Ovis aries: one gene and its partners. The protein of the gene in region 2 interacts with the protein of the main gene of each other region in a pairwise test. Links are inferred from orthologs where the notes say so. Each region holds a gene or a part of one and is shown on either strand. Other genes may lie near its edges. The genes, in order: PEPD, ATXN1, DNAJA3, PSMC3, TRIM38, FDPS and RBFOX2.

The links.
Region 1: the proteins of ATXN1 (region 2) and PEPD interact in binary tests that used the Homo sapiens proteins (3 or more experiments, as listed by UniProt). The link is inferred for Ovis aries from reciprocal best matches to the Homo sapiens genes ATXN1 and PEPD.
Region 3: the proteins of ATXN1 (region 2) and DNAJA3 interact in binary tests that used the Homo sapiens proteins (3 or more experiments, as listed by UniProt). The link is inferred for Ovis aries from reciprocal best matches to the Homo sapiens genes ATXN1 and DNAJA3.
Region 4: the proteins of ATXN1 (region 2) and PSMC3 interact in binary tests that used the Homo sapiens proteins (3 or more experiments, as listed by UniProt). The link is inferred for Ovis aries from reciprocal best matches to the Homo sapiens genes ATXN1 and PSMC3.
Region 5: the proteins of ATXN1 (region 2) and TRIM38 interact in binary tests that used the Homo sapiens proteins (3 or more experiments, as listed by UniProt). The link is inferred for Ovis aries from reciprocal best matches to the Homo sapiens genes ATXN1 and TRIM38.
Region 6: the proteins of ATXN1 (region 2) and FDPS interact in binary tests that used the Homo sapiens proteins (3 or more experiments, as listed by UniProt). The link is inferred for Ovis aries from reciprocal best matches to the Homo sapiens genes ATXN1 and FDPS.
Region 7: the proteins of ATXN1 (region 2) and RBFOX2 interact in binary tests that used the Homo sapiens proteins (3 or more experiments, as listed by UniProt). The link is inferred for Ovis aries from reciprocal best matches to the Homo sapiens genes ATXN1 and RBFOX2.

Annotation. Positions count from the first base shown.
Region 1 is NC_056067.1:43,416,383-43,419,882, reverse strand, and holds part of PEPD (xaa-Pro dipeptidase), read left to right. Parts: intron 1-1,720; coding exon 1,721-1,904; intron 1,905-3,500. UniProt on the Homo sapiens protein: Dipeptidase that catalyzes the hydrolysis of dipeptides with a prolyl (Xaa-Pro) or hydroxyprolyl residue in the C-terminal position.
Region 2 is NC_056073.1:40,000,263-40,003,762, reverse strand, and holds part of ATXN1 (ataxin-1), read right to left. Parts: coding exon 1,997-3,500; intron 1-1,996. UniProt on the Homo sapiens protein: Chromatin-binding factor that repress Notch signaling in the absence of Notch intracellular domain by acting as a CBF1 corepressor. Binds to the HEY promoter and might assist, along with NCOR2, RBPJ-mediated repression. Binds RNA in vitro.
Region 3 is NC_056077.1:4,155,522-4,159,021, reverse strand, and holds part of DNAJA3 (dnaJ homolog subfamily A member 3, mitochondrial), read right to left. Parts: intron 3,351-3,500; coding exon of another isoform or gene 3,343-3,350; intron 2,718-3,342; coding exon 2,634-2,717; intron 1,868-2,633; coding exon 1,667-1,867; intron 653-1,666; coding exon 500-652; intron 1-499. Other genes in the region: small ribosomal subunit protein uS10-like, read left to right, coding at 3,343-3,350. UniProt on the Homo sapiens protein: Modulates apoptotic signal transduction or effector structures within the mitochondrial matrix. Affect cytochrome C release from the mitochondria and caspase 3 activation, but not caspase 8 activation.
Region 4 is NC_056068.1:76,180,656-76,184,724, forward strand, and holds the start of PSMC3 (26S proteasome regulatory subunit 6A), read right to left. Parts: upstream 2,801-4,069; 5' UTR 2,606-2,800; coding exon 2,528-2,605; intron 2,273-2,527; coding exon 2,189-2,272; intron 1,564-2,188; coding exon 1,438-1,563; intron 893-1,437; coding exon 788-892; intron 683-787; coding exon 620-682; intron 380-619; coding exon 242-379; intron 1-241.
Region 5 is NC_056073.1:30,926,785-30,930,926, reverse strand, and holds the start of TRIM38 (E3 ubiquitin-protein ligase TRIM38), read left to right. Parts: upstream 1-1,342; 5' UTR 1,343-1,422; intron 1,423-1,547; 5' UTR 1,548-1,577; exon of another isoform or gene 1,578-1,582; intron 1,583-2,761; 5' UTR 2,762-2,906; coding exon 2,907-3,305; intron 3,306-4,142. UniProt on the Homo sapiens protein: E3 ubiquitin-protein and E3 SUMO-protein ligase that acts as a regulator of innate immunity. Acts as a negative regulator of type I interferon IFN-beta production by catalyzing 'Lys-48'-linked polyubiquitination of AZI2/NAP1, leading to its degradation.
Region 6 is NC_056054.1:105,483,580-105,487,773, reverse strand, and holds the start of FDPS (farnesyl pyrophosphate synthase), read right to left. Parts: upstream 2,801-4,194; 5' UTR 1,905-2,800; coding exon 1,723-1,904; intron 1,646-1,722; coding exon 1,483-1,645; intron 359-1,482; coding exon 218-358; intron 1-217. UniProt on the Homo sapiens protein: Key enzyme in isoprenoid biosynthesis which catalyzes the formation of farnesyl diphosphate (FPP), a precursor for several classes of essential metabolites including sterols, dolichols, carotenoids, and ubiquinones.
Region 7 is NC_056056.1:179,532,036-179,535,535, reverse strand, and holds part of RBFOX2 (RNA binding protein fox-1 homolog 2), read left to right. Parts: intron 1-1,182; coding exon 1,183-1,236; intron 1,237-1,372; coding exon 1,373-1,467; intron 1,468-2,551; coding exon 2,552-2,694; intron 2,695-3,182; exon of another isoform or gene 3,183-3,288; intron 3,289-3,500. UniProt on the Homo sapiens protein: RNA-binding protein that regulates alternative splicing events by binding to 5'-UGCAUGU-3' elements. Prevents binding of U2AF2 to the 3'-splice site.

The DNA of each region.
Region 1 (3,500 bases), on a different chromosome or scaffold from region 2:
CAGACCCAGCTCTCTGGGCTTGTGGGGTTTCCGTTCTAGGAGACGGAGGTGGACTTTGCCTGTGAGCACCGTCTCTCACTGCAGCCCCAGGCAGTGCCCCCTCTCTCTGGGCTGTCCCTGCCCTCCTGGACCTCCGCTGGCCAGAGAGCCTGCAGGGCCTCCCTCCACACAGGTCACATGTCCCTGCCTAACTCCTGCCCCCTGGCCCCGACCTTGCTGGCCGCCAGCCCACTCGCTGGGACTGCCCTTCCTCCATTTAGTCATTCACACAGCGCTGTTTTGGGCTTCCCAGGTGACGCCAGTGATAAAAAAAAAAAACCCACCTGCCAATGCAGGAGATGTAACAGACCTGGGCTCGATCCCTGGGTGTGGAAGATCCCCTGGAGGAGGGCATGGCAACCCTTCTCCAGTATTCTTGCTTGGAGAATCCCATGGACAGAGGAGCCCGGTGGGCTACAGTCCACGGGGTCGCAAAGAGTCGGACACGACTGAGGTGACTCAGCACGCATGCAGCACTGTTTTAGGGGCCTGGAAGGAGGCGGTCCCCACCCTCATGGAGCTTACATCTTACCCGGGGAGACAACCAGCAAGTAAACATATACTGTTAGACAGTGATGCGTGCTCTGGAGAGGTGGGAAGAGAGCAGTGGATAGGTTTGGGTGGGGTTGTTGGAAAAGCTTCGGGGAAGAGGGGGTATTTCTGCAGAGGCCTGGATGAAGTGAGAGCATGAACCTGGTCAGCACTGGGAGAGGGTGTTCCTTACGGGGAACAGAGGTCCCAGGTGGGAGGGTTCTTGGGGTTTAGGGAAGAGTATGATGCCTGTGTGGCCCACCTCAGCACCTTGTGGCTGGAAGTCTGCACTGGGGTGGCCAGACATGGGGAACGACTCTCCAGAGGATTTTGTTGGACAGAGAGAGAAGTAGATGCTGGTGGGTGTGGGGGTCAAGGGGCGTGTTTTTACCTATTTTAAAGATGGGTGAGGTTCCTGTGCATCTGAATGCTGAGAATGGTCCCCAGAGGGGAAAATTGATGCTGGAGCAATTCAGGGGATTGGGAGGGTGGGGAGAAACATGAGGGGTAGCGCAGGTTACGCCCAGGTGGAGGGGACACCTCAGCCCAAAGGCCGCAACTTCCAGGTCCACCTGGTCATGGTTCTCCCTCAGTCATTTGGCACATACAGGCCTGGTTCGGCTCAGTGCCTGGTGCTGAGTGCAGCACGTGTGTGTGTGTGTGTGTTTGTGTTGAGGACAGGAGAGTGTCCCAGCTCAGGTGAGAAACAGCCCGGGCTGCCGGGTCTGTGACCTACAGAGAAGATGCAGCCTGCAGACACGTGGGCAGGGCTCTAGTGTCGTCTGGGCCAAATCTCACATGGATGGGAAGCTCCTTGAGGGCAGGAACTGGAGGGTAGGGGATGTGTCTGGGCACCGTTATAGCATTGCCCTCTGTGGGCTCATCTGTCTACTGGTTAAACAGACCCAGCTGCCCCTCATCCCGCTTGTCTGGCGCTCAGGGCCAGGAGGGGAGGGTGTGGTTGACAGCGCCTGTGGTCCACCAGCAGCCTGGCCAGGAGCTGTTTCCGGGTCACACGCAGGTTGAGCTTGGATCAGCCTGCTGCGTACTAATGGGGGTCCGGTGCCAGGCTGGGCCCTGCAGCCGCCCCGGACTGTGCATAGGGCACGTGCCTGGTGGTGCCAACAGAAGCCTGCTCATGTCTTTGCAGACCCTCATTTTGGCTGGGGAACGAAACTCTGAAGGTGCCGCTGGCACTCTTCGCACTGAACAGGCAGCGCTTGTGTGAGCGGCTGCGGAAGAACCCAGCGGTGCAGGCGGGCTCTGTGGTGGTGCTGCAGGGCGGCGAGGAGACGCAGCGCTACTGCACCGACACCGGGGTGCTCTTCCGTCAGGTGAGCCCTGCTGGCAGCTTCCCGCCTCTCTGGGCGTGCACTGGGCCTCCTGTGGGCCTTCTGTCCTCCTCCAGCATCAGGCCCGGTGGGTCTGGGCAACTCTGCCCTCCTGAGGGACTCGGAGGTGATTCTCTGAAGGCAGGCCAAGGCTGAGGTCCCCAAGGGGGCCCCCACTCGAGAGGGCAGAGCTGTCACCAGTCAGCCTCAGCTCTTTCAGATCAGAGTACAGGGGGATGATGTTCCTGGGGAACAAGCAGGCAAGGCTTCCTGGAGGAGGCAGTATCGGGTGTGGATCCTGAAGGTCAGCATGCATTCTGACAGGTGGAGCTAGGGTTGGGTGTTCTAGGTGGGGGAATGGTATCCACAGGATTGGACCCCAGAGGTGGGGCTGGGCAGCCTTCCCTGGGCCGGGAGAGGTGCTGATGGGGAGGGCTGAGTTCCTGCTACCAGATTTTCCCACAGCAAGAATGGACTGGCGCTGCAGAGGTCCTGGGAGGAGGAGGCGTGGGAGCAGGGTCTTAGCAGGAGTCCAGCGCCCCGGCATTCATCCCAGCTTTGCCAGTGCTGATGCCTTGGGTTTGGTTTCCGCCCCTGGGAAGCGATCCAGGGGCTCCGCAAGGTTCTAGAGCCCTGGGGGATGGCTGTGGGGGCCAAGCTGTAGAAAGCCAGCCTGGACGTGATGGCCTCTGGCATCACTCAGTTCCTGGGGACAGGAACAGGACAGTCATCAGAGGCTCACCCAGGGGGCCCTAGGCTGGCCCAACTTTACAGATGAGGAAACAGACTCAGAAGGAAATGCCAGAGGGGGAGCTGGGATTAATTAGAACCCATCTGCTGACTCCAAGTCTCCCAGAGCAGGGGTCTGACGCACTGGGAACTCCCTGGCGCCAGGCAAGGCCTAGAGGACATGTCGAGCATCCAGGTCAGGGAGCAAGCAGGGGAATGGGAAGGGAGCTGAGCATGGAGAGCGGGCAGCAAGGCGTGGCCTCCGCAGCTAGACAGTGTCCACCCTGCGGGGCACAGGCCTGGATCCACTGCTGGGAGCTATGGCGCACACAGCATCTTCCATGGGAAGTGTCTCCTACTGGAGGGCTTCCCTCAGCCTCTTCATTCCTGTCGTCCCCGGGTCGCTGGAGATGTGGAGGTCTAAATAAGTTTTCTCTGCCTCGTCCTGATGCTTCCTGAGGTTTCCATAGTCTGCGGTTTAAAAACCAATCTCCTAAATTCAGCTGTTGGCTCCCTTACTGATGTTTTATGCAAGATTAATTTTAGAAGAGCGCCTCCTCCACTTCATACCTTTACAACGATATTTTAGCTCCGTGTTTAATGCTAAACACTGGAGTCATCAGCTGCCCCGGGGGTGGGAGAAGGAAGGAAGAAGTCTTAAATGGAGGAATCCGCTTCTAAGCAGATGCCTGGCCTGGGCGTCTTAAGTCAAGGTGGCACCTTGCCTGCCTGCAGGCAGTGGGGGTGGCAGAGAGGTGGGGAGGGACGGGGATGCGGGTAGGGCGTTGCCAGATCTGTGATGCTCGTGGGCACCCGTGTCTTAACCTGTCCCGTCTGGGACCTGAGGGATGTGGCAGGGGAGGTGGGGGT
Region 2 (3,500 bases):
AAAAAAAAAATTTACTTTTTCTTCTTGTTTATTTCCCAGGCTTCACTTGGGGTCTGTTAAAAGACAACTTTGCTAGTAAGTCAGCTCATTCTTTTGTCAATGAGGATCCATCCACTCCTAATCCACGTAGGACGCGGAGAGGGAACAGAAACTTAGATGTGGGCAGGGAGTTCTACATAATGATGCCCTTTTCCAAATATCCTGATTTTTGTTTTGTTTTTGTTTTCTTGCATCAGAACCCTGAGAAATTTTTCTTGGGCCTCACCAAAGTTTACAGCGACATCTCACCATTAAAAAGAAAAGTCTTCGGGGCTAAAAGCTCCTGGCAACGCAGGCCCTCTGATATTGCGCAAGATCCCACATCCGGACATTCACAAGAAGTCCTGGAAGACGCTTTGGAAAATCAGACTCCCCCACCTCACTTGATCTTTTAAAAAATATTCTAAGAACAATTCAAACCATTAACTAGTTTGTTTATCTTTGACTGTCCCAAATACCAGCTACGCCATGACCATTTTTCAACTCATTTCAAACTGAAGAAGGTGCTATCATATGCCATTCCCAGAGGCACTGAGGCTCTATAGCCTGGGAAGTTCCCTGCCTTGGGGCCAAACCTAACTTCAAGCAAGCTGGGCAGTGAAACTACTGTTTCCATAACACATGGGTGGAATCAAGGCATTCAAGTGATTTAAGAAGCTGGAAAAGAGTGGACTGAAGGAACTCATGGAAATTAAGAGCTGATCCCGGTTCTAGTTTTAACATGACTCAGCTTGGCTGCATCTGGCCCTTGGGGGTTCCTATTTATCAGAAGTCCAGGAGATCACATGGGACAGCCTTGACCTTCCAGATTATATGACCCATGCCTTTTATTCTCTGTATCTGATGCTCTGACATCTTGGGGTCTTGCTGACACTGGAGGGACCGTCCCTCCCTGTGTTAGCTAATTCCTAGACATAGCCAACAGCTCCCCTGCTGGGGATACTGTTCTTCACGTGTAAAGCAAACACCCACACCTCAGCTTCCTCCTCAGTGAATGGGACTTTCACTCTCTGGGCCACTATCAGACACCTAGGGACAGCTCCTGTACCCAGAGCCTGCTGAAATGATTCCAACTAGCCTACCTACGCTTGCTACCTTGCCTCACGCACTCCTTCCCACTGAAATGATAGCAAAGGCTCTTGTTCATGTATTCTCCTGGCTCCCAGTGCCTTGTAGCAGCCCCTGGCCTTCTTCCGCATGGCAGCCCACGTGGCCGGGCATATCCCCTCTCCTTGGGATCTGAGTATAACCAGATGTATTCTCCTCTGTTGGCCTCACCATACCTAAATGATAACAAAACCTACATGTTAAAACATGGATGTTGGGACTTCCCTGGTGGTCCAGCGCCTAAGACTCCAAGCTCCTGATACAGGCGGCCTGAGTTCGACCCCCTGGTCAGGGAGCTAGATCCCACACACTGCAACTAAGAGTTCACATGCCACGACTAAAGATCAGATTGAGTGCTGCAACTAAGACCCAGCACAGCCAAAATAAATAAATAAAAACAGTAACAAAACACTGATGTTGTAATGGGATATGGCAACTCTGGGCAACTAACATTCTCCCCTGAAGCAGCACTGTCTTTTCCTGGGGTGGGGGTGGAAAATGGCTTTTCTTAATCAGGGTTACTCATGCGAACCACAGGACAACATCAGCAAAACAACCCGAGTGGTGATTTTCTTAACTGTCCCAAGCATGGTACCTGACCAGCCCCCACTGGAGAAGCAGAGAAATTAATTCATTACAAACAGAGGATGCTTCCAGGTGCATTAGGGCTTAATTCTCTTAGAGAATGGTGGTTGGAGGAACGTGAGAAGCCTAACCTTTACGTACAAAGTGAAAGTGAAAGAAAGCCCTCAATCACTCCCACAGCCGCAGACAGGTCACGGTGCCAGGAGGTAAGGGCGGCGGCACGGCGCGGTGTCCCCCTACCCCCGTGATGCGGCCACAATGTTACCTGCGCTCGGTGATCCCCAACGGCAAACTGGATCACGGCGACGCCGGGGCTGTGGCTGTCCGCGATCCTCTCCACCGTGCTGGAGTCGATCTTCAGGTCGGTGCTGATCTCCGCGCTCTGGATGAAGTCCTCTGTCTTCAGGTCCTCCACTTTCTTCAGCTCCCCGTTGGCCAACTGGATGATGGAGCCTTTCATGAAGTAGGGCGGCAGCGTGGGGGGCGCGGCGGCGGCGGGGGAGGCCACGGACTGCGCCACGGGCAAGTGGATCTGGGCCTGCACCATGGCCGGGTAGGCGGCCTGGCTGACCAGGGCTTCAGGGCCGAAGTTCTCGCTCTTGGCCAGGGCGGTGGTGACGAACGTGTGAGGCACTGCAGCAAACTGGGGCGACGACGTGACGATGGCCGAGGCGGCGCCCGACCCCTCCAGGTCGGCGCTGCCCACGGGGATGAGCAGGGGCTGGGTGCCCGGGATGACCAGGTGCGGGGGCAGGCCGCCGGCGTAGGTGATCGCTTGCTGCTGGCCGCTCAGGTAGCCGATGACCGGCGGCTGCGTGCCCGCGTAGAAGGCCGTGGCCGGCAGCCCGACCGGGAGGGCCTCCGAGGCGCTATGTGTGGTCTGGATGACCGTATGCGGGGACAGCGTGGCGACGGCCTTCACGCCTTCGGGGCCCAGCGCCTGCTGCGGGGACAGTGCGTAGGAGCGGTGCCCGGGCTTCCCCAAGTGCAGGCCGCTCTTGTCGTTGAGGGCGGACGGTGAGTTCTCCCGGTGGGTGACCTGCTGCCCCTCGAGGTCGGCGGCGGGGGTGCTGCTGTTGGGCAGGACCATCACGGAGGCCCGCACCCCCGACGCGTCGCGGACACTGTAGTCGGCGGGGCCGGGGTGGACCACCACGTGCCTGGACTCGTAGGGGTGGGGCACCGCCTTGCCGGCCGCCTTCACCAGGCCCAGGTCGGCCGCAGGGGGCGCCCCGTACCGGCGGCCCTTCTCCACCTCCCCGTTCAGCATCTCCTTGGCTTGTATGGCCTGCTGCAGCCGGCTGCTCTCGGCCTTCTTGGTGGCCTCGCGGGTGACAAAGTGGCTGCCGGAGTCGGTGTACTGCACGACCACCTGCGGGGAGGGCCCCAGGGTGAGTGTGTGTGGGATCATGGTCGGGTGCGTGTGCAGGTGGACGGGGAGGGTCGGCGGCGAGGCCGGGCGTGCGGCGTTCTGTGGCGAGCTGGAGATGCGCACGTACTGGCTCTGCTGGGGGGGCGGTGGGGACCCCGGGGGGAGGAGCCCCGCAGTCCGGCCTAGGTGCTGCGGCGGTGGCGGCGGTGGCGGTGGCTCAGCCTTGTGTCCGGAGGCTCGGCTCAGCCCGCCCATGTCGGCCAGCAGGCTGCTATAGGCCTCCAGCTGGGAGCGCTGGGCAGGCGTGGCAGCGCCCACCGCCGAGGCCACCGCGCTGGTGACCGGGCTGGCCGTGGGCGAGATCAGCTGGGAAGGGATGAAGCCGGTGTAGGGCCCG
Region 3 (3,500 bases), on a different chromosome or scaffold from region 2:
AGAATTGTTTGGACATTAAGTTTCTTGATTTTGAGAACATACTGTAGTTACATAAAAGACCGTTCTTGCTCTTAGAAAATATACACTATAAATGACAAACCAAATGGGATAAAATGTTAACAACTGTTGAGGCTTGGTAAAAGGAATAAGGGAGTGGTTATTTATACTAGTCTTACAAGTTTCAATTATATCTAAAACTTACCAAAAAGAAAAAGAAAAAAAGATTATACTTCAAGCAAAATTTAAGTTCCCCTCCCCCAATTTTAAATTACCAACATACTCCAAAACGTATTTTCAGAGGAGACAGCAGAATTTCCTTGCTCCTTCTGTACAGAGCACTCCTGGGACAATGTGGAAGGTTCTAGATCACAGAGTCCCACCTATTAAAGAGCTCTCAAAGCCCTAGGTACACTGGCACACAGAGAAGAGGAATGGTGGGGAAGCACAGGGAGGCGGCAGAGACAGGAGCCCCAGGGGGAGGCGGGCCCACCAGGCTCACCATGCCGGAGCCACCGCAGTAGTGGCAGTGCTGAACTTTGGTGCCTGGCTCGTTCCCTTTGCCATCACACCGCTCACAGGTGTCAGTGATGTTCACGGTGAACTCCTTGTTGACGCCCTTGGCAGCTTGATTGAACGTCAACTCCATGATGTACTAGAGAAATCAAGGGACCACTGTTATTGCTCTGAAAGTAAGGGAGAGCGCTGGCTGAGAGTTTACAGTTTCTGTTTCTTTTAAAGACTCTATTTTTTAAAGCAGTTTTAAGTTTAAAAAACTGAGAGGGAGGTAGAGATTTCTCTTATACCTTTGCCCCCACACGTGCACAGCCTGCCTACCATGTAATCAACATCACTCACCAGAATGATACATTTTTTTTTAATCAAGGATGAACCTACATTGACACAGCATGACCAGAGCCCACAGTTTACATTAGGGTTCACTCCTGGTACTGGCTATTCTATGGGTCTGAACAAGTGTATAATACACACACAGCTTCCTCATAGAATCATGCAAAGTATTTTCACTGTCCTAAAAATCTTATTCATGGCTCCACCAATTCATCTGTTCCCCTAGCCACTTTTTACTTTATAACTTGTACTCTGTCAAGTCAAGAACAGATGGGACTCAACTGATTCTGCTCTACTCCTCACGATTTTCAACAGATACCTGTTGTGTGAAGGAAAATGGGCTTTTCAACAAGCTGAAAATGTTCACAAATAATATTAGCACGTGGTCCTAACAGTTCAAATGATCCACAATCATAACTTACATTGTAAAACGCTTCCCCCCACCCTTGGGTTCTCTTCTGATAATGCCTGAAACAAGACATAAACATGGAAGAAGCAGGACTGGCAGTGCCTCCCTATGGACCGAGTCTCCTAGAATAATGAGACGGGCTCTACATAAACTAACTACTCTAACTATGGACTCTCAGAGCCACGGGGCTGCCCTGATTAAGCAACTGTAAGAATACAGGAGAACTGAATGTACACATTATTAATGGTTTTTCAAATACTGGAACTACCTGCTACAAAGATGGCTGCCTCCCAATCACCCCATTTAAGCTACTTTATCTTTTTTCTTTGAGAAAGAGAAACTGGTAAAAAATCTGTTTGTGTCACACTTAGCCGCTGAAATTTGAACAATTCTTCAAAATGAGGGGCTTACCTCCTGAGGCTGATTGAACACACTCTGGAAATCACCAAAAGAGGAGGATGAGAACTCCCCAAAGATCTTCCTGAAGAGCTCCTCTGGGTCAACTGTGGGACCTCCTTTCCAGTAGCTCTGCCCAGAGCTGCCGGCCCCGGGGTCGAAGCCAGCGGAGCCGTAGGTGTCGTACTGCTTCCTCTTCACTTCATCGCTCAGGACCTGCCGAGAAAAGCCCAGCAGTTAGTGCCCCCGAGGCTCCTGGGGCCCAGGGCACGGACACCAAGTACAGACAGTGGTGGCGGCCTATCGACATTAAACGTCTTGATCCTGTCAACTGTACCGCGGCTATGTGAACAGCCTGCCCTTAGAGAACACACACAGAAGCACTTAGGAAGAGACAGAACACATCTGTGACTTACCCTCAAACGGTCAGGGGCAGGGCGGGGGATGCACACACATGTGCATGGACACACACACACAGCAGATATACGACACCCTACACACCCCCAACCCCTTCAGCACGGCTGAGTCTGAGAAGGAGGTCCACACTCATGTAACTCTGCCCTTATTCAGCTGCTGTTTCACACCCTCTGCTCTCAGATGACATTCGACACTCCTCCAGGGCAGTGGTGGTTTCTGCTTTTACAACATCCACCATCCCACCAGCCCTCCGAGGGGGAGGTCACCAAACAGGCAAGGAACTGGTTAATCTGACAAGAAGGTCCCAGACCCAGCTAAAGTCCCAGTGACTGGGACTGGGAATACAGATTACTGGGTTCTGTTCTTTGTTGAGATCCCTAGTGAGATCTCATGTGAGCATTTTGGACCTACAAATTTTTTTTTTTCCCTCTTCAACAAGGTGGTCTGGAGGGGGACACGGCCTTCCCACTGAACCTTCTCATGCATCAGGCTTCCAGTGCAGCACGCTCTGACCCACGCACACAGCCGAATGACAGGGACTGCACACACTGGGGGGCCGCGTTACCTCATAGGCCTCTGCCAGCTGGGAGAACTTCTCCTTGGCTTTGGGATCATCCTTATTCGTGTCTGGGTGATATTTCTTGGCAAGCTAAGGGAGGAAATGGTCAATTAGTATGGACACAAGATGATCACTAAAACTGAACCCCAGACACCAGTCACAGCTCACCTCCTTTGCAGCAGTTGTCAGACTTCACAACTGACAGCAATTCTTAAAACAAGATTTAAGACTAAATCATCTCTAACTAGACTTATGATGACGATCATTTCATAGTGTATACAAATGCTGAATCATTATATTGTACACCTGATACTAATGTCAACTACACCTCAATAAACACAACCTAAAAGCAAAACACACACAGCCAGAATTAAGAACATACACTCCATGAACTGTGTTCAGTTTTCAATTCTGATCAAAAGTTTATTACAAAACAGCAAAGTGAGTTTTGGGAAAGGGAAAGAAAGAAAACTATCTCTTCAACTCTGAGATGTGTATATGTTTTTCAACTGCAACAAATCTCTCAACAGAAATAACAATTCTTAAGAACTTGGGGTCCTTTGTGAGAGATGCCAAAGAGTAAATCTGATTAGACTACCATCTGTGTAAAAAGAGGGAAATGACTGGATAGATAAGTAGATATATCTGCTGTATAAATTAGTTTTGGAAGAGCAGACACTAAGCTGGAAATGCTGATTGCTACAGCGGGGAGGGGATGGATGGGTAAGAGAGGTCTTCTCACTGCACACTCCTCTGTACTTTCTGAATTCAGAACAACAGATTAAAATATTAAAAATCCAAACACAAACCTAACTTGGCTGTCCTGGGTACACTGGAGAGCTGAGCAGCTCTAACACAAAGGTTTCCTCCTGG
Region 4 (4,069 bases), on a different chromosome or scaffold from region 2:
GGTTGGCGGTGGACTCCCAGAACAGCAGGACGGGGCAGAAGGACGGTCTAAGAACCGGAGCCTGAGCTCCGGTCCTGGCTCTGGCCCTAACCGTCTGAGATCCTGAGCAAGTTGTTCAAACCCTCCAGAGCTCAGTCTTCCAAACTGTTGCATGGCCACTTCCCTGCCTCCCTAGAGGCTACGAGGGTAAGAGGCACGGGAGGAGCAGCGCTGGGCCACCGAGGCGCCGGGACTCCCTCACCTCCTGGATCTGCTTATCCAGGCCCCCGATGTCACTGTACTGCTCCGTGGGTCTCTCGTCCACCTCCATGGCCTTCACCCGCGAGTCGTACTCGGTGGGCAGGGTCTCCAGGATCAGATAGGAGTCTTTGTTCACACCCTGGGGACACAGCATGAAAGCCTCAGCTCTGTCCCAGCGCAAGGCCTACCTAAGTGACTGGGGGACAGGTGTCCAGAGTGAAAGGAGAGCCACAGGACTGGGCAACACAAGAGTCAAAGGGCAGGCAGCTCTGCAAACGTTCAGGACCCACAGTGACCTAAGCCGGGGCCAGGGGCTCGGCTCAGCAGTGGGAGAAACCTGGCTGGAAAAGGCCCGCCTGGGCTCAGGGACACCACTCACCACCAAGTCTCCCGGCTTCAGCTTTTCGGCATCCACCAAGCCAATCACAGGCAGGAAATAGGTCTGCAGAAGGATTCCAGGTGCAGCCTCAGTCGCTGCCCTCAGGCAGGTCCCCGAGTCCTGTCCCACCCCCCAAGCCTCGGCACTCCCCTCTTGAGCCAGCCCCACCTGCCGTGTGGAGGTTTTGATGACCGCACACTTGCCCTTCCTCTGGGAGTCTAGATCGATGTTTGCACCATCTTCCTCTTGGTCGTTGGGATCAACATCTAGGAGCTGGGAGAGGAAGACGCTCAGATCGAGAGGCCTTGCTCAGCCCCCCTGTACTCTGCAGAGCCCAGCACTTCTGGGGCCTAGACAACCTCAACACTCCCAGGGCTCACCATCCCTACCTCACTCCTCAGCCTAGCCCTGAGCCCAGCCCCCCCTGTACTCTGCAGAGCCCAGCACTTCTGGGGCCTAGACAACCTCAACACTCCCAGGGCTCACCATCCCTACCTCACTCCTCAGCCTAGCCCCGAGCCCAGCAAAGGTACGGTTAATAAATCGGAAGATTAGTGTGATCTCTGCTCAGGTGCTGCTTCCCTGCACAGAGCTCATCTATCCCCCGAGGAAAAATACCCAGTAGAAAAAGAAACACAAAGCTTCCAATGCCTTTTCAGGCCTGTATATTCCCCTGAAAACTTACAGTGGGGAGGAGAACCTAAGAGGTTTAGATCCTACATGCAATTTAGGCCTCAAGAGGCCCACCCACCCTTTCCCCAATGGCAGGCTGCCTCCAAGCCCCACTGACCCCTCTTCCCCTCCACATACACACACACCTCGATGACGTTGGAGACCAGGTACGGCAGGGTCTTGTTCACTTTGATCTTCTCGCTGTTCTCTTTGATCTTGTCCTTCATGGCCTGGAGTTCGTGGGTGACTCGCAACACTTCACTCTTCATGATCTGGGATGAGGGTGAATGGAAGGAAATATTCAGCCTTACCTCAGCTTATCTGAGGGCCACTTAATTGGAGCACCTTATCCAGGCGGCCAGAGGAACCCTCCTGCACCCCTTCACTCAGCTCAAAGGCTCTCTGAATGCTCAGCCTGACTGTCCACAACCAGCAAAGGTCGAAACAGGAGGCCCGTCGGGAAACCTCCAGGGTAAGCAGTTGTACTAAAGGGAAAAAGCCAGACTTTGAGTTGAGCACACACGGGCTTCAGGTTCTGCCTTTCATTACAGGCTCCATATCTCACCACAGTAAAACACAAAACAACAACAACAAAAACACCTCTTTTAGCCTCAGTTTGCTCATCTGTAAAGTGGGGGTTTCTTAAAAGACAGACTCTCAAGAGGAATACTGGAAAGACCAAGCTGGGAACAGCAGTCAGCCAATTCCTTCTCTCAGGCCTGCTCTCCCACCCCGGCCCTCTCCCCCTCCCTTTTAAAACTTAGTTTTCTCTTTTTCTGGTCTGAGGAGGAAACCGCGGTCCCCACACTCTCGGAGGGAGGCTGGGGACGACGTGAGAGCACCAGGGCCTGCCGTGTGCGGGGGGACGCGGGCAGGGAGAGGGGCTTCACTGCCCACCTTGATTTCACTGTCCAGCAGCCGTGTGCGCTGGATGATCTCTTCTGTGGACATCTTGAGAACTTCCTCCCCGATTCCATCTTGCTGTGAAAAAAATAAAATTTTTTTTCTTAAATTCAAGGCAGTTAACTCAGCACTGTGAGTTAGCCAACTCTTTGCCTCAATTAACCCACTATCCGCAAAAAAAAAAAAACCAGAACGGAGTCGCGACTGCATACCAAGCGGCCCCAATCCCGGGACCGGGCTCGACCTTGACCCCCGCAGCCACCGCCTCCCCTCCCGCCAGCGGGGTCTCCCCGTGGCCCGGGCTCCAGAACCGCCAGCTTCCCCAGCGCGCACCTCAGCCTCGTCCCACACGGTCGCCATCTTCTCCTGCCGAGTCACCGGCCTCTCGAGTTTCGGCAGCAGATTCACCATCTGCGAGAGCAGCCTGAAGACTGCACCGCGCGGCAGCCGCGGGGAGAGATTAATATGACAATATTGCCTCTCTTTACGTCTGCTCTTGACTAGTGAGACTCCGTCAACGAGTCCTGACTCGTGAAAAAAGTTAGCTTGGGCCGCGTTGCGGCGGCGAATCTGCTGCCCGGATTCAAAAGATGAAGCGCAGGCCACAGGGCCCGCCCCCGCGGCTGCTGAAACGTTCCCGCCCTCGTCCTGTTAGTGCCGCCCCGAGAGGAGGATGCGCCATTGGCTGGCACGCCCAGAGGGGCGGGACCTGGCGGGGAGAAGAAACAGAAAGGGGAGGGAGACACGACCCGGTGTCCCCGGGGCCCTTGGGAAATGTAGTCCTAATCAGGCGGGTCATAGGGCGCTTTTGAAGGAGGCGGGGTGGAGGGGGTAGGTCTTTCAACTGCAGAATTGGCCTAGTTAGGAATTAGGGGATTCCCCAAAATAAGTGGGCCTCATCCAATCAGTTCAAGGCCTGAATAGGTCCAAAAGGCTGAATACCCTCAGAGATAGAGGGAACTCCTTCTTCCTGACTGTCTTGAGCTGGGTTTCTTCCAGGCTTGGGTGCTGTGCTTAGTCGCTCAATCATGTCCGACTCTTTATGACACCGTGCACTGCAGCCCGCCAGGCTCCTCCGTCCATGGGGATTCTCCAGGCAAGAATACTGGAGTGAGTTGCCATTTCCTCCTCCAGGGGATCTTCCCAACCCAGGGATCAAGCCCAGGTCTACCCACCCAGCAGGCGGATTCTTTACTGACAGAGCCACAAGGGAAACCCAAGAATAGGGATCCAGGCTTGGGACTTACACTGCAATATCAGTTCTTAACCTTGCTCCTTAGAAGAAAAGTTATGACCAACCTCAGTTCAGTTGCTCAGTCGTGTCTGACCCTTTGCAACCCCATGAATCATCACAGCACGTCAGGCCTCCCTGTCCATCACCAACTCCCAGAGTTCACCCAAACTCATGTGCATCGAGTTGGTGATGCCATCCAGCCATCTCATCCTCTGTTGTCCCCTTCTCCTACCCCTAATCCCTCCCAGCATCAGGGTCTTTTCCAATGAGTCAACACTTCACATGAGGTGGCCAAAGTATTGGAGTTTCAGCCTCAGCATCAGTCCCTCCAATGAATACCCAGGACTTGTCTCCGTCAGAATGGACTGGTTGGATCTCCTTGCAGTCCAAGGGACTCTCAAGAGTCTTCTCCAACACCACAGTTCAAAAGCATCAATACTTTGGTGCTCAGCTTTCTTCACAGCCCAACTCCCACATCCATACATGACCACTGGAAAAACAATAGCCTTAACTAGACGGACCTTTTTAGGCAAAGTAATGTCTCTGCTTTTTAATATGCTGTCTAGGTTGGTCATAACTTTTCTTCCAAGGAGTAAGTGTCTTTTAATTTCATGGCTGCAGTCACCATCTGCAGTGATTTT
Region 5 (4,142 bases), about 9.1 Mb from region 2:
TCTTGCCTGGAGAATTCCATGGACAGAGGAGCCTGATGGGCTACAGTCCACAGGTTCTCAAAGAGTAGGACACGACTGACGACTGAACGACTAACACGTCACACTTATGCAAACAGTAAGCATAAAAAGAATGGAGTGTCTATATTAATAAAAAATAGAGTTTAAGACAGAGAGCATTTCCAGAGATAAAGAGTACCGTTCTGTACTGATAAAAGGGTCCGTTTTTTCATCAAGAAAACGTAATCATAAATGTGTATGAGCTTAATGACAAGCCTTCAAAATACATGATGCAAAAATGGAAAGAATTAAAGGGAAAAATAAGCAATTCTATAATCCTAGTTGGAGATTTTAATACCTTTCTTTCAGTAGTGATATAATAACTAGATAAAACATCTAAAAAGTCACATAAGACTGAAAAACCCTATCTATCACCTTGAACAAATTGGTATTTAAAGAACATTATACTGAATTATACTGAATATCTGCATCCACATTCTTTTCAAGTACATATGGTTATAGTCATAATGATAGACATGTTCTAGGCCACTGTACAAGTCAATAAAGTTAGAGGAATTTAAATCAGATAGCATATGTTGTCTTGGGAATTCCCTGGCAGTCCAGCAGTTAGGATTCCAGTGCTTTCACTGCCAGGGCCTGGGTTCCAACCCTGGTCAGGGAACTAAGATCACATAAGCCCCCAATTTGTGGAAATTAAGCAACATGCTTCTAAATTAATCTACCATGTAAAAATCATAATAAAAATTATAATATATTTGAACTATAGAATAAGGCATATATAACTTTGTGAGAGGCAACTAAACAGTGCCTACAGGGAAATGTATAGCTTAAACTGTTTACATTAGAAAATAAAGATAGTCTAAAATCAAAGCCCAGATCCTGCAAAGGTGATATGTCTAAAAGAAGACACCTCCACTACCACCAATAAAACTGAGATCCCAAAGGGTGATAAAGGTGAACTAGAAGTAAACCCATTTCACCTCCTGGAAACTGAAAGAGCTCTGAGAACTCTGGTGCTGAGGAGGGTGCAAAGAAAAGAAAAAGAAAGAGAGTAATAGACCCTGGTAAGTTGTAACAAGAGGCCAATTTTTATACATATTCGGGATGAAATTTCATATCACTTGGGTTATCAAAACAAAATTATTAGTTTGTTCCTTCTTTTTATTGCTGTAAAAGAAAAATATTTTTCCTACCATCTTCCCTCCCTTTCAGTACAAGCTGAGTGCAAAAGATACGGGCCATTTCACCAGTTTCCTCCCCGGATCTTATAGGGCCCCGCCTTCTGAAGTAGTTTCACTTTTGTTTGTAGTTAACTTCCTCACCCAGACCTCAGGAACCAGCAGCTACGGAGCGAACTAGCGCGAGTATGTGACTGTCTGCTGTGTGGAGAAGGGAGTGGAAAAGGTCAGACCCATGTTTTCTCATGTTTTCTCCACGGAGGGATAGGAGATGTGTGTTGGAGGAGGGGATGGGGTAGCCGGGTCTTTGTTTCATGGCTCTCACACAGGGTCTGCTTTCTTTTTCGCCAGACTCCATGTTAAATCTCTGAAGTACAGAAGGTGAGGTGAGTGAAGGTCCAGGACAGGCGCCCTGGGGGCTCAGAGGAGGGGAGGTCCTCCTTCCCTAGGAGCACAGCACCAGTGGCAGAGAGGAGCCTAGTGTATCGCTTGGGGGAGATAACCTGCCAAAGAACAGAAATCTCCAGAAGAAATTCTCTTTGGATCCAAGAGACTGGTCCTGGTTATTAGAGGGACATAGCCTATCCAGTAACTTTAGTTGAATCCTTGCTTTTGATTCTGGCCCTGTCAGTTCAAAGGAAAGGCCACTCTCAACTTCCTTCATCCTCTGCTGCCCTCCCCGACAAACTCCCAGGAATGAGGAAGCAGGGAACTGAGCCAGGTTCCCAAAGCAGTCTAAGCTGTGGGTGAGAGGGTCGACTCCTTTGTCTATTGGTTGTCAGGTCCCTAGGGGTTAAGCCCTCAGGGTTGAGAGGCCCTGCTTTCCCATCTGCTTCTCACCTTCCCCTATCCTGGATTCTGCAAACTCCCTGTGTTCCAGTCACTCTGAACTTCTCCTGAGACACAGGTCCTGCTTGGAGAAGAGAGTCACCTCCCTAGCTGTCAAGGAGTTCTGCTCCCCTTCTCTTCCCAGCTCTTTTTTCCTCAGGTCAGGGAGCGGGGAAAAGAACTTGATTTCTTTACTTGTTCTTCTGGTTGTCTTTTTTGCTTTCATTATCATCCAGTTAGGTTTCCACTAGGGACTTTATTATGGTGTCTTTTGTTCTTTGTGGGGCAGGAGTGAGGGTTTAATTAGAGTCAAATTTGATTGTCTCAATCAAATCCTTAATAGACCACCCCTTTACCTAAGTGTTACTACCACTTACAAAGAAACAATTCTGGTACTAATTATTCTTGATGTTCATTAGAGGGAGAAAAACTTTAACAGTCCCTCACTGAGTTCTCTCTCTTGCTGCAGCTTTGGTTGAGGAAGTCAGCTTGGTTTCTCTCCCTCTCTCAGTGAAAACTTACAATGATGGAATGTTCTCCATCGGGGCTTTCATATAGCTACCAATCACCTGGAGCTATTAAGCAATTTAAATATGGCTAAGAGGTGCGAGAAATAGAATTTTAAATTCTATTTAATTGTAATTAAAGTGGCCACATGTAATAGTCATGACCATATTCCACAACACAGCTACATTCAATGCATCGTCTAAATTCCAACCTATTTCTTCTCTCTCTAGAGCAGACTCCATGACCTGTTGAAACCAGTGGCAACCAGTGCATTGCACAGAGACTCAGGAGAGGTAAAGTTCCATCACTGTGGGAAAATTCTGATTACTTCATCTCTGTGTCTAGATTCAATATTGGAGCTTTACAGGAGAAACCATGGCCTCAAAGAAGATGAGGGAGGAAGCCACCTGCTCCATCTGCCTGCACCTGATGACTAACGCAGTGAGCATCAGCTGTGGACACAGCTACTGCCACGCGTGCATAGTGAGCTTCTTTGAGAACCTCTACCAGATGCAACCATGGCTGAAGACATTCTCCTGTCCCCAGTGTCGAGCACCATTTAACATGGAGAGCCTCCGGCCCAACAAGCAGCTGGGAAATCTCATCGAAGTCATCAAGGAGATGGACCAGGAAATGTCATGTGAGGAACATGGAGAGAAGCTCCACCTGTTCTGTGAAGACGAGGGCCAGCTTATCTGCTGGCTCTGTGATCGTGGAGCCCAGCACAAAGGGCATGCCACAGCTCTGGTGGAAGAAGCATGCCAAGGCTACAGGGTGAGTGGTGGCCCACAGGGCTTCGGCAAGTACTTGGCCTCATATTGCCCCCTGAGACCTGAGATTCTTTGGCCTGAAACCCAAGATTAGGATCCTGAAATCCTATATCCTGTCATTCATCTGAAAAGTAGAATGATGGGTCCTCACTAAATCAAGTCCCAAAGGTTACTTTTGTCCCTATCCTTTCTGGCTCTGATGAACTCCTCCCTGCTTTAGAATGCCATGTGCACACCTGCATGTTTTATTGCTTCATACCATGTGTGTAATTTGAGAAACAACAATATGCAAGACCATGGGAAAGAGTCTGAAAACACAGGGGTCAAAGACACACCACCTTAGATGTCTTACAGTCTAATAGGAAAGACAAATCCGCAAACAGGCTGCCTGGAGTCCCCTGATTTGGATGGTGGAGCAGAGCCCTAAGGGGTGTGGAGTAGTAACTAAGGAATCTTCCCAAGAATGACTCTTGAAGAATACATAAAAATTAACCAAATATATTAATAGAAGTATGGAGAAGGGAGAGGACATTCCAGACAGAGGGGACCACATGTGCAAAAGCACAGCCATGGGAGCATACCTGACTTGCTATGACTAGGCCGGGGGGTATGCAGGGGAGGCAGGTGATGTTACGGGAATGAAAATCAGGTCTGCATCCTAGCCCAGAGTAGTCCTGGCCATGGGGGGATTTTCATTTGCAGAGTGAAAGATCGGGCTAACAATGAAAAGAACATTCTGGTACTGATACAATGAAAGGAATACTAAGTAGTAAAATTCAGATTATTCCTGTGAGAAGTGGAAAGAGATCAGTTCTAAGCCAGATTCAGGAAAGAGTGTGAG
Region 6 (4,194 bases), on a different chromosome or scaffold from region 2:
GAGTACAGGTGAAACACGCACCTTCTGGTACAAGGGCCTCCCCACATCTGTTAACCCCTCGTCACTAAGTCTGGCCACAGCACACTAGATGCACAGAAACACAACCGAGAAGCCGAGTTTCAGGCCCATCCCTTCCCTCCCGTCCCACCCCATCCCACCCAGGGCACCCCCACTCTAGTAAACCTCGTCTTTGCCTGCTGCTCCCCACCCTTCTCACCAGTTCCACACACCAGCCCACAGTCAGGGCCCGCTGGAGACTGTCAGGATCTTGTTTCCCGGGCTCCACAAGCTTCCGGAACGTTACCACCACCGTCAAACCCCGATTGTACTTGCCTCCGATGGCATTGTACTCCAGGACCTGGGGGAATAGCAGAGGGACAAGGAAGGCATCAGGGTCTGCGGAGCAGCTATTCTGAGATTTCTCCTTGTTTTCTCCCACCGGAGACCAGGGAACCTAACTTTATCCTCCTCAATCCCAACCCCTCCTCCAGGCAGCCCCTGAACTACTATGCTCCTGGCTTCTTCCAAGTCGTGGGGCAGAGCAGGAAGTTCCCCAGTCCCCAGGCTCTCTCTGCGTTGTCTTCTTCAGAACACTGAAAGGCTCCATACTGGAGATTAAGATCTGCTCCCAAACCCAGACAGGGCTTGAACCCGGGGAAAACTCTTGTGCATGCCAAGAGAGCGGCTAGCTCAGGTCTCTCCCACCCCCATTCCTCCCTTCTCAGCCACCTCCTCTGCGACCCCCCTCCACGGTTCAGCCTATCTGCAATAAAAAGCCTCTCACTTAACTCAGACAAGCGCCCTCCTCCCCAGGTTAGCCAGAGGACAGCTTGGAGGGGACTCAGGCTGGGGGACCATCCGCTACTCCTTCAGTGGCATTGCCTCCTGCTGGGGCTTCTCATTTTGCCTTCTGCTGCCCTGTTATCAACCAGATGCAATTCACTGGGAAGACTTCCCTTTTTAATCTCCATCCAAGTACAGACTTCCTTTTCCTTAGTTTCCCTCAGACAAATGAGACGGCATTACAAAAAGAATCACTAGATATTCCAAAAGAATCAGGCAACGTAGGTATCTCAACAAATAGTTCCTGCCCTAGAGGAGGGGTTTCTGATGGAACACTACCTTTACTCAGCCCCACTTCAGACTGCTTCCTCCCTTCCTCCCAGGTCCCTGCCAAGATAGCCCCTTATGATTTCTGGACACCTAATTCCCTGTCTTAACAAAATCAAACACTTACCCAGATCAAAGCCTTCACCCCCAGGGCGATCCACCCCTATGCAAAGCAGTATGTCTGGCCTACCAGAACCACAAAGCTGGACTGATTGGACCTGCCCAGGCTCCGACCCCTCCAGAATGAACCCAGAGTCTCTCAGATAAAAGTCTGTTCCCACACCTATCAAAAGTCACCCCAGAGCCATAGAGAGACCCCACGCATGTGCAGAGATTGCAAAGGTTCACCCTCTCGAGTTGTAAATCCCTCACCTCCTTGAGTCGGGTAATGGCATCTCCTGTCTCTGGGTGCCCAATGTCCTCCTCAGTCAGCACCTTGACAATCTGGGAGAAGTGCTGGATGAAATCCTGCCTTTCTTGGGCGAACGCGTCCGATTTCTGGTCTCCATTCATTCTGAGGGAGGAGTAAAATGCTCTGACAAGAGGGAGGACAAGTCAGAAACCTAATCAGCTGCTCCCCTCCCCAAGGCCCCTCACCCCTGCCAGACTCACCGAGGCTCCTCTGTCCACGCTTGCCGCCAGCAGCGGGCACTGTGCCAGGCCCCCAGGACTGGGCACCCGTGCCCCAGGGTGGGTCGCCGTAGGGGACCCAGCAACCTGTCCCGGGGCACCCAGCACGGGGCTGGCAGCAATAAGACCCCCACAGATCTCAGCCAGCGGGACAGGGGCAGCATGGGGGGTGGCACAGAGAGGGGGCATTGAGCACTCCCTGCAGGGGCAAGCACCAGAGGCAGATGCACGCTGTCAGCTCCCCAAGTCACCCTCCAACCTTCCACCTCTGTACCCAGAATGCCCCACTCTCTTCTGGGCTAAGCTGGAGGGCACTTAAAGAAACTCAGGGAACAAAAAGTACGGCTGGGTAACCAAGACTCAGCTGATCATACTTAAAATAAGAAGGCTAGGACTCAAAGCCATGTAACTTTACCCGGCTGAGAAACCGTCAACGCCTCCACAAAGGAGCCTCTGGAATTGCTATACTCTTGCTTGCTTCCTCCAAATTCTGGAGCACAGACTGAAGAATCCAGAGTAAAGGACCTCAGGACCGGGGGCTGGGAGGATCTTTAAATCACCCTCTTTTATAGAGGCCAAACTGAGGCTCTAGGAGGTAGGAGGTACCCGGGGAATGGCAGCGCCAAATCTAGAACCCAAGTCTCCCTTGGTAGGCAGGGAGAGGGGAGCGCAGGCTTTGAGGCGTGAACGCAGAACCCCTGGGTACTATGGACATGTAGTCTGGGGCTCTGGGACTGGACCTCACAGAGCCAGGACTGTGCTGACAGCCTCGGAGCAACACTGGGTGGGTGGGTGAGTAGGGTTCGCAGCGGAAGAGCAAAGCAGGGTGCAGTTATACTGGGATTCCAGGAAAGCACATGGCAGAGTTCGGGAGTTTCTGCACATCCACGGTGTCAGCTAGTCCGTCCCACCAACTCCCAAAACGGGGGAACACCGACGCAACAGACTGGACCTCCTGTGCCTTGAAGTTGCGCTACAGAGTTAAGACCGAGTTTCTAGCCCCTGCCTCCGGTCCCAGCCCTCGACCTCTCTCACCTGTTCCTGGATGCTGGTTGCAGATCCTGATTGTTGGAGGGGTACTCCTAAAAGCTGGACCGCGCGGCGCTCGGGTCGCTGGATCTAGTAGTTCTCGATCTCCTTTCACTGCAGGCAGCAATGCTTCACTGGACTACAATTCCCGAAATGCCACAGGAGGGGCAACGATTACGCGATCTAGCGCGGGCTGGCTGGGCGGGGACGAGCCACATTGATTGGCTACTTCCCCTCGTATGAGCATGAGGCCCTGTAGCCAATAGCCAATGGAAGGGCTGACCCCCGGGACCTGAAGCTAACAGGGCTGGAGTGGGCGGAAGATGGGGTGAAGTTGCAGGGAGTCGAACAGGTTTGGAATTCCTTGAACTCAGGCTCTCAACAGTCGTTGTTTACTACTCAAATTGTCATTATTTTCCTGTGCAGTTGAGTGGCACGTTACTAAAACCCCAGGGGGGCCATCATGGCTACTTAACTGGTTGTCTAACTTGGGCCAGTCGTGTAACTTCTGAGCCTCAGTTGACTTCTTTGAAAGGATAACACCGTGATATAAAGTATATAAAGTGCTTTAAGTGCTCAACAAAGCGAAGACTCAAGGAGAAACCAGAACCGTTATCCCTACACACAGGTACACACACACAGTGTACCCACCCACCGTGGATAACACACACACATACACACTTACAGTTTACCCACCCACCATGAATAACACACACACACACAGTTCACCCACCCACCATGGGTAACACACACACACACACAGTTTACCCACCCACCATGGGTAACACAAACACACACACAGTTTACCCACCCACCATGGGTAACACACACACACAAAGTTTACACACCCACCATGGGTAACACACACACCCCCATATACATACACCCTGTACACACACACTTCTTACACACACGTACCCTTCAGCCACACACACACACACACCTTTTACCAGCAACCATGGGTACCACATACATACAAGTTTACCCACACATCATGGGTAACACACACACACACCCTGTACACACACACCCCTTAAACACACATACACACCTTACACACACACACCCCTTACACACACCGCTTACCCACCCACCATGGGTAACACACACACAGTTCACCCACCATGGGTACACACACACACCCCATATACATACACCCTGTACACACACACTCCTTACACACACATACCCTTCACACACACACACACACAGTTCACCCACCCACCTTGGGTAACACACACATCCCCCATATACATACACCCTGTACACACACATACCCTTCACACACACACACACACACGTTTTACCAGCCACCATAGGTACCACACACATACAAGTTTACCCACATATCATGGGTAACACACACACCCCTTAAACACACATACACACCTTACACACACACACCCCTTACACATACACACCCCC
Region 7 (3,500 bases), on a different chromosome or scaffold from region 2:
TGCGTTGGAGAAGGAAATGGCAACCCACTCCAGTGTTCTTACCTGGAGAATTCCAGGGACTGGGGTGCCTGGTGGGCTGCCGTCTATGGGGTCGCACAGAGTCGGACACGACTGAAGCAGCTTAGCAGTGACACAATGTTACAATGTTATAAAAGAATTAAACCAAAGGGCCAATTTTTCAGAAAAGTAAAATGGCTTTATTTATTTATAAAAATTTTATAAAGTGATAAAATTCAAGAAATATTCATTAAGATTTTTCATGTAGAATGCTACTCTGTCAGTGGGCAATAGAACATTTCTCTCTCTTTTTTTTTAACCACTTACCATATTCCTATAAATATAAAAAAGGAAATGTAGAAATTAAAGTGACATCAAACATAATGTTGTTTAGAAATACTTAAAATGTTTACACTAATGTTCTGTAGTGGTCTTGTATTCTTTAGCTTAAAAGTCTGATTAATGTAAATATGCTTCTTATAAAATTAAAATTTCAGAAGACATGCACCAAAGTTAGGAACATACCTTGAATTTTATCATTGCATATCTCTCCTTGGTGACTTGGTTAAATAAATTCCAGTGAAATCTCAATGGGAAATCGCAATGAAAGATTTCCATTTACCCAGAATACCATTAGCATGCTATAAATGAACCTGGAGTTCAGAGGTCCAGGTCAGATTTTAATTCAGTCAAAGGATACTGTTTTATAATAAAACAGCTAGAGTAATAAACAATGTCAAGATGATATAGAAGACAGCGCATCACAGTGTGATACCAAATTACATATATTGTGCCTTTCTCCCTTCTTCTAAACAAGGACTAGGTCATTTAGCCGTTCTGTGAGAGACAGTGTACAAAACCCCCCGGATTTATTTGTATTTCTTTTTCCTTCTCTCATTCCCTCTCCATCTTCCTTCCTTCCTCCCTCCCAATTTTTTTCTCACCTCCTCTTTCCCCTGCTACCTCTCCCTCTGCCAAATCTTCATTATCCCTTCACTGTGCTAGTCCTGCTTAAAGAGGGTCAGGTCCAAAAATATCATCACCCTCTCATGTAAACACCCACCGGCATCCTAAAAAGAAGATGGTACCAGGCAAAAACGAATCCAGAGCATCTGAAGCCCTCCTTTACCTTCTGTTCCTCATGTAGTCTTAAACATTTGCTCACTGTCCTCTCTTCCATTTCAGGTTGGAAATTAAGCCCAGTAGTTGGAGCTGTATATGGCCCTGAGTTGTATGCAGGTAGTATTTAAGTTAATTTTTCCATTTGTGCTATTTACATATATATTTATTTATATGTATATATGAATCTATTATTTTTCACTTTCCTACTCCTTGGTAATCTTTTTGCACCTTTTCATTTCCTAAATACACTTAGCATCCAGCTTCCAAGCAGATGTGTCTCTAGGCAACGACGCAGCCGTGCCCCTGTCAGGAAGAGGGGGCATCAACACTTACATTCCTTTAATCAGTAAGTAGCCTATGTTGACCTGGCTTGGAGTTTGAGAGTTTGACTGTTGTGAGTAAACAGCGAGGTATTGGTCTTTTTGTACCCCCAAATACACGTAACTGAAAAGGAGGCATTCACGAGAGAGTTAAATACTGTCATTAATGCCCTGTCCTGTGCTAGAATCTTTTTGATCAAATGTTAAGATGGCCATAAAGCACAAATAGTCGGAAAAGGTAGAAGAGAATGAGGGCATGTAAAGAAAATTTTAGTTTTGCACTTTGGTAATGAAGCAAACAAAGAAGGGACTATTGGTAGAACATGTACATGCTATCTGCAAGTCAGCTCTGGGCCCTTGAGTAGAATACCACTCAAACACTGCTCCAGTTTTATTGATTATTCTCAGCTCTGTTGGTACCTCTAAAGTCATTTTGACCTGAGCTATTTAGCTCCAGCAAGAGATATAATTAAACAGAGTTCAGTGGATACGGAATCAATGTCCCTGCATGCTTTGCAGAGGATAGCACACTTAAAACAGGTCCTTAGAGAATGTCTGCCTCTTTACAGGACACAGGGCTGCAGAGGAGAGGCAGTTTCCTTCTCACCTCTCATTTCTGGATTGAAACATGTTAGATAAAGAGTAAGGTGGACTCATGACGTGTCTGAAGACTATTTAGTGTGCCTTGGAATGTGGTGGCATGTCAAAGCACAAAAGGATATGCTTATGAAAAATAATTATTTAAATTGATGTAATAACATCTGGAAATAAGATTAATAATCAGTCAGTGAAAGAGTTTATATCAAACTTAAACTGGCTGTAGAAATGAAAAGTCTCGTCTCCATTATGGCAGCAGTTCTCAAGTTTCTTGACCTGTTTCTCATCAGCTTGCATTGCAAGGCCAAAATTGGGAAGGAATAAAGAAAACTCATGATTTGTGATAAGTGAGGCATGGTGTCAATGAGTTATGGCATATCGCATATTTCCATTTCTTTTTGAGAAAAGTTGTGATGTGGAGGTACCTTTTCATCTCTCCTGTAATTGTTGTAAAGCAGGTTGTGATGTTACACGTGCTGCTGAATGCAAGTTGACATTTCTGTCATATTTTGGGTCTCCCTTTAGTTCCTGGCTTCCCTTACCCAACTGCAGCCACCACGGCGGCCGCTTTCAGAGGAGCCCACCTGAGGGGCAGAGGGCGGACGGTATATGGCGCAGTCCGAGCGGTACCTCCAGCAGCCATTCCCGCCTATCCAGGGTAAGCAGTAGATTCCCAAATAAGCAACTGGATAAAACCAGAATACCATGGCCCTCTTATAACTTCTGGGTTGTTGCCCTGCCGCATAGTAGAGACTCTTTGAATATTTGCAAATTAACAGATTAGATGGCAAGAACCATACCATTGTCAGAATGTAACAGAATATCAATGCATTATATAAATCTTCATCTTGGCCACCTTAAGCCCTCACAGTAGTGGCTTAAGACAGTAGCCAGAACTGTCTTGTGTTCACTAGCAGTGTGTTGGCATGGAGTTCACTCAGCATCGCACGAATTTGGATTAACACTCCTGCAGAGAACCAAACTAGGAGCTGAAGATTGTAGTGCAAGACTGCATCTGCTGGGCTCACCCCTCACCACCACCGTTGCTGGGGCTGAGGCTCTCACATGTGCCCTCCCTTGTGGTTTCACTGCCTGGGTGGTGAGCAGCAGAGCTAGTTACCCACAATGGATTTGCTTTCTTTGTAGGAGACGGATTAAAAGAGGTTAATTCAAAGATGAGCCAAGTCCAATTGAATCAAGGGAGAAAGGGAGAAGTAGGAAGAATTAAACTACAGTTGGCTTCTGAATGATGGTAAAACAACTAATGGAGCTGAGCATCCTTCACCTTTTGATTTTTGTATGGAGGGTGTCTCATGCAGTGGAATGATTCCATAGCAACAAATAAATCCTTTGTTACTGAATGGGGGAGAAGGAGTGAAGATGGCAGATTTTGATTTCCGTTGTTTCTCAAGGTCAGCCTACAATGTATATTTTTATATAAAAAGTGGACTTTTATAAGTTAGT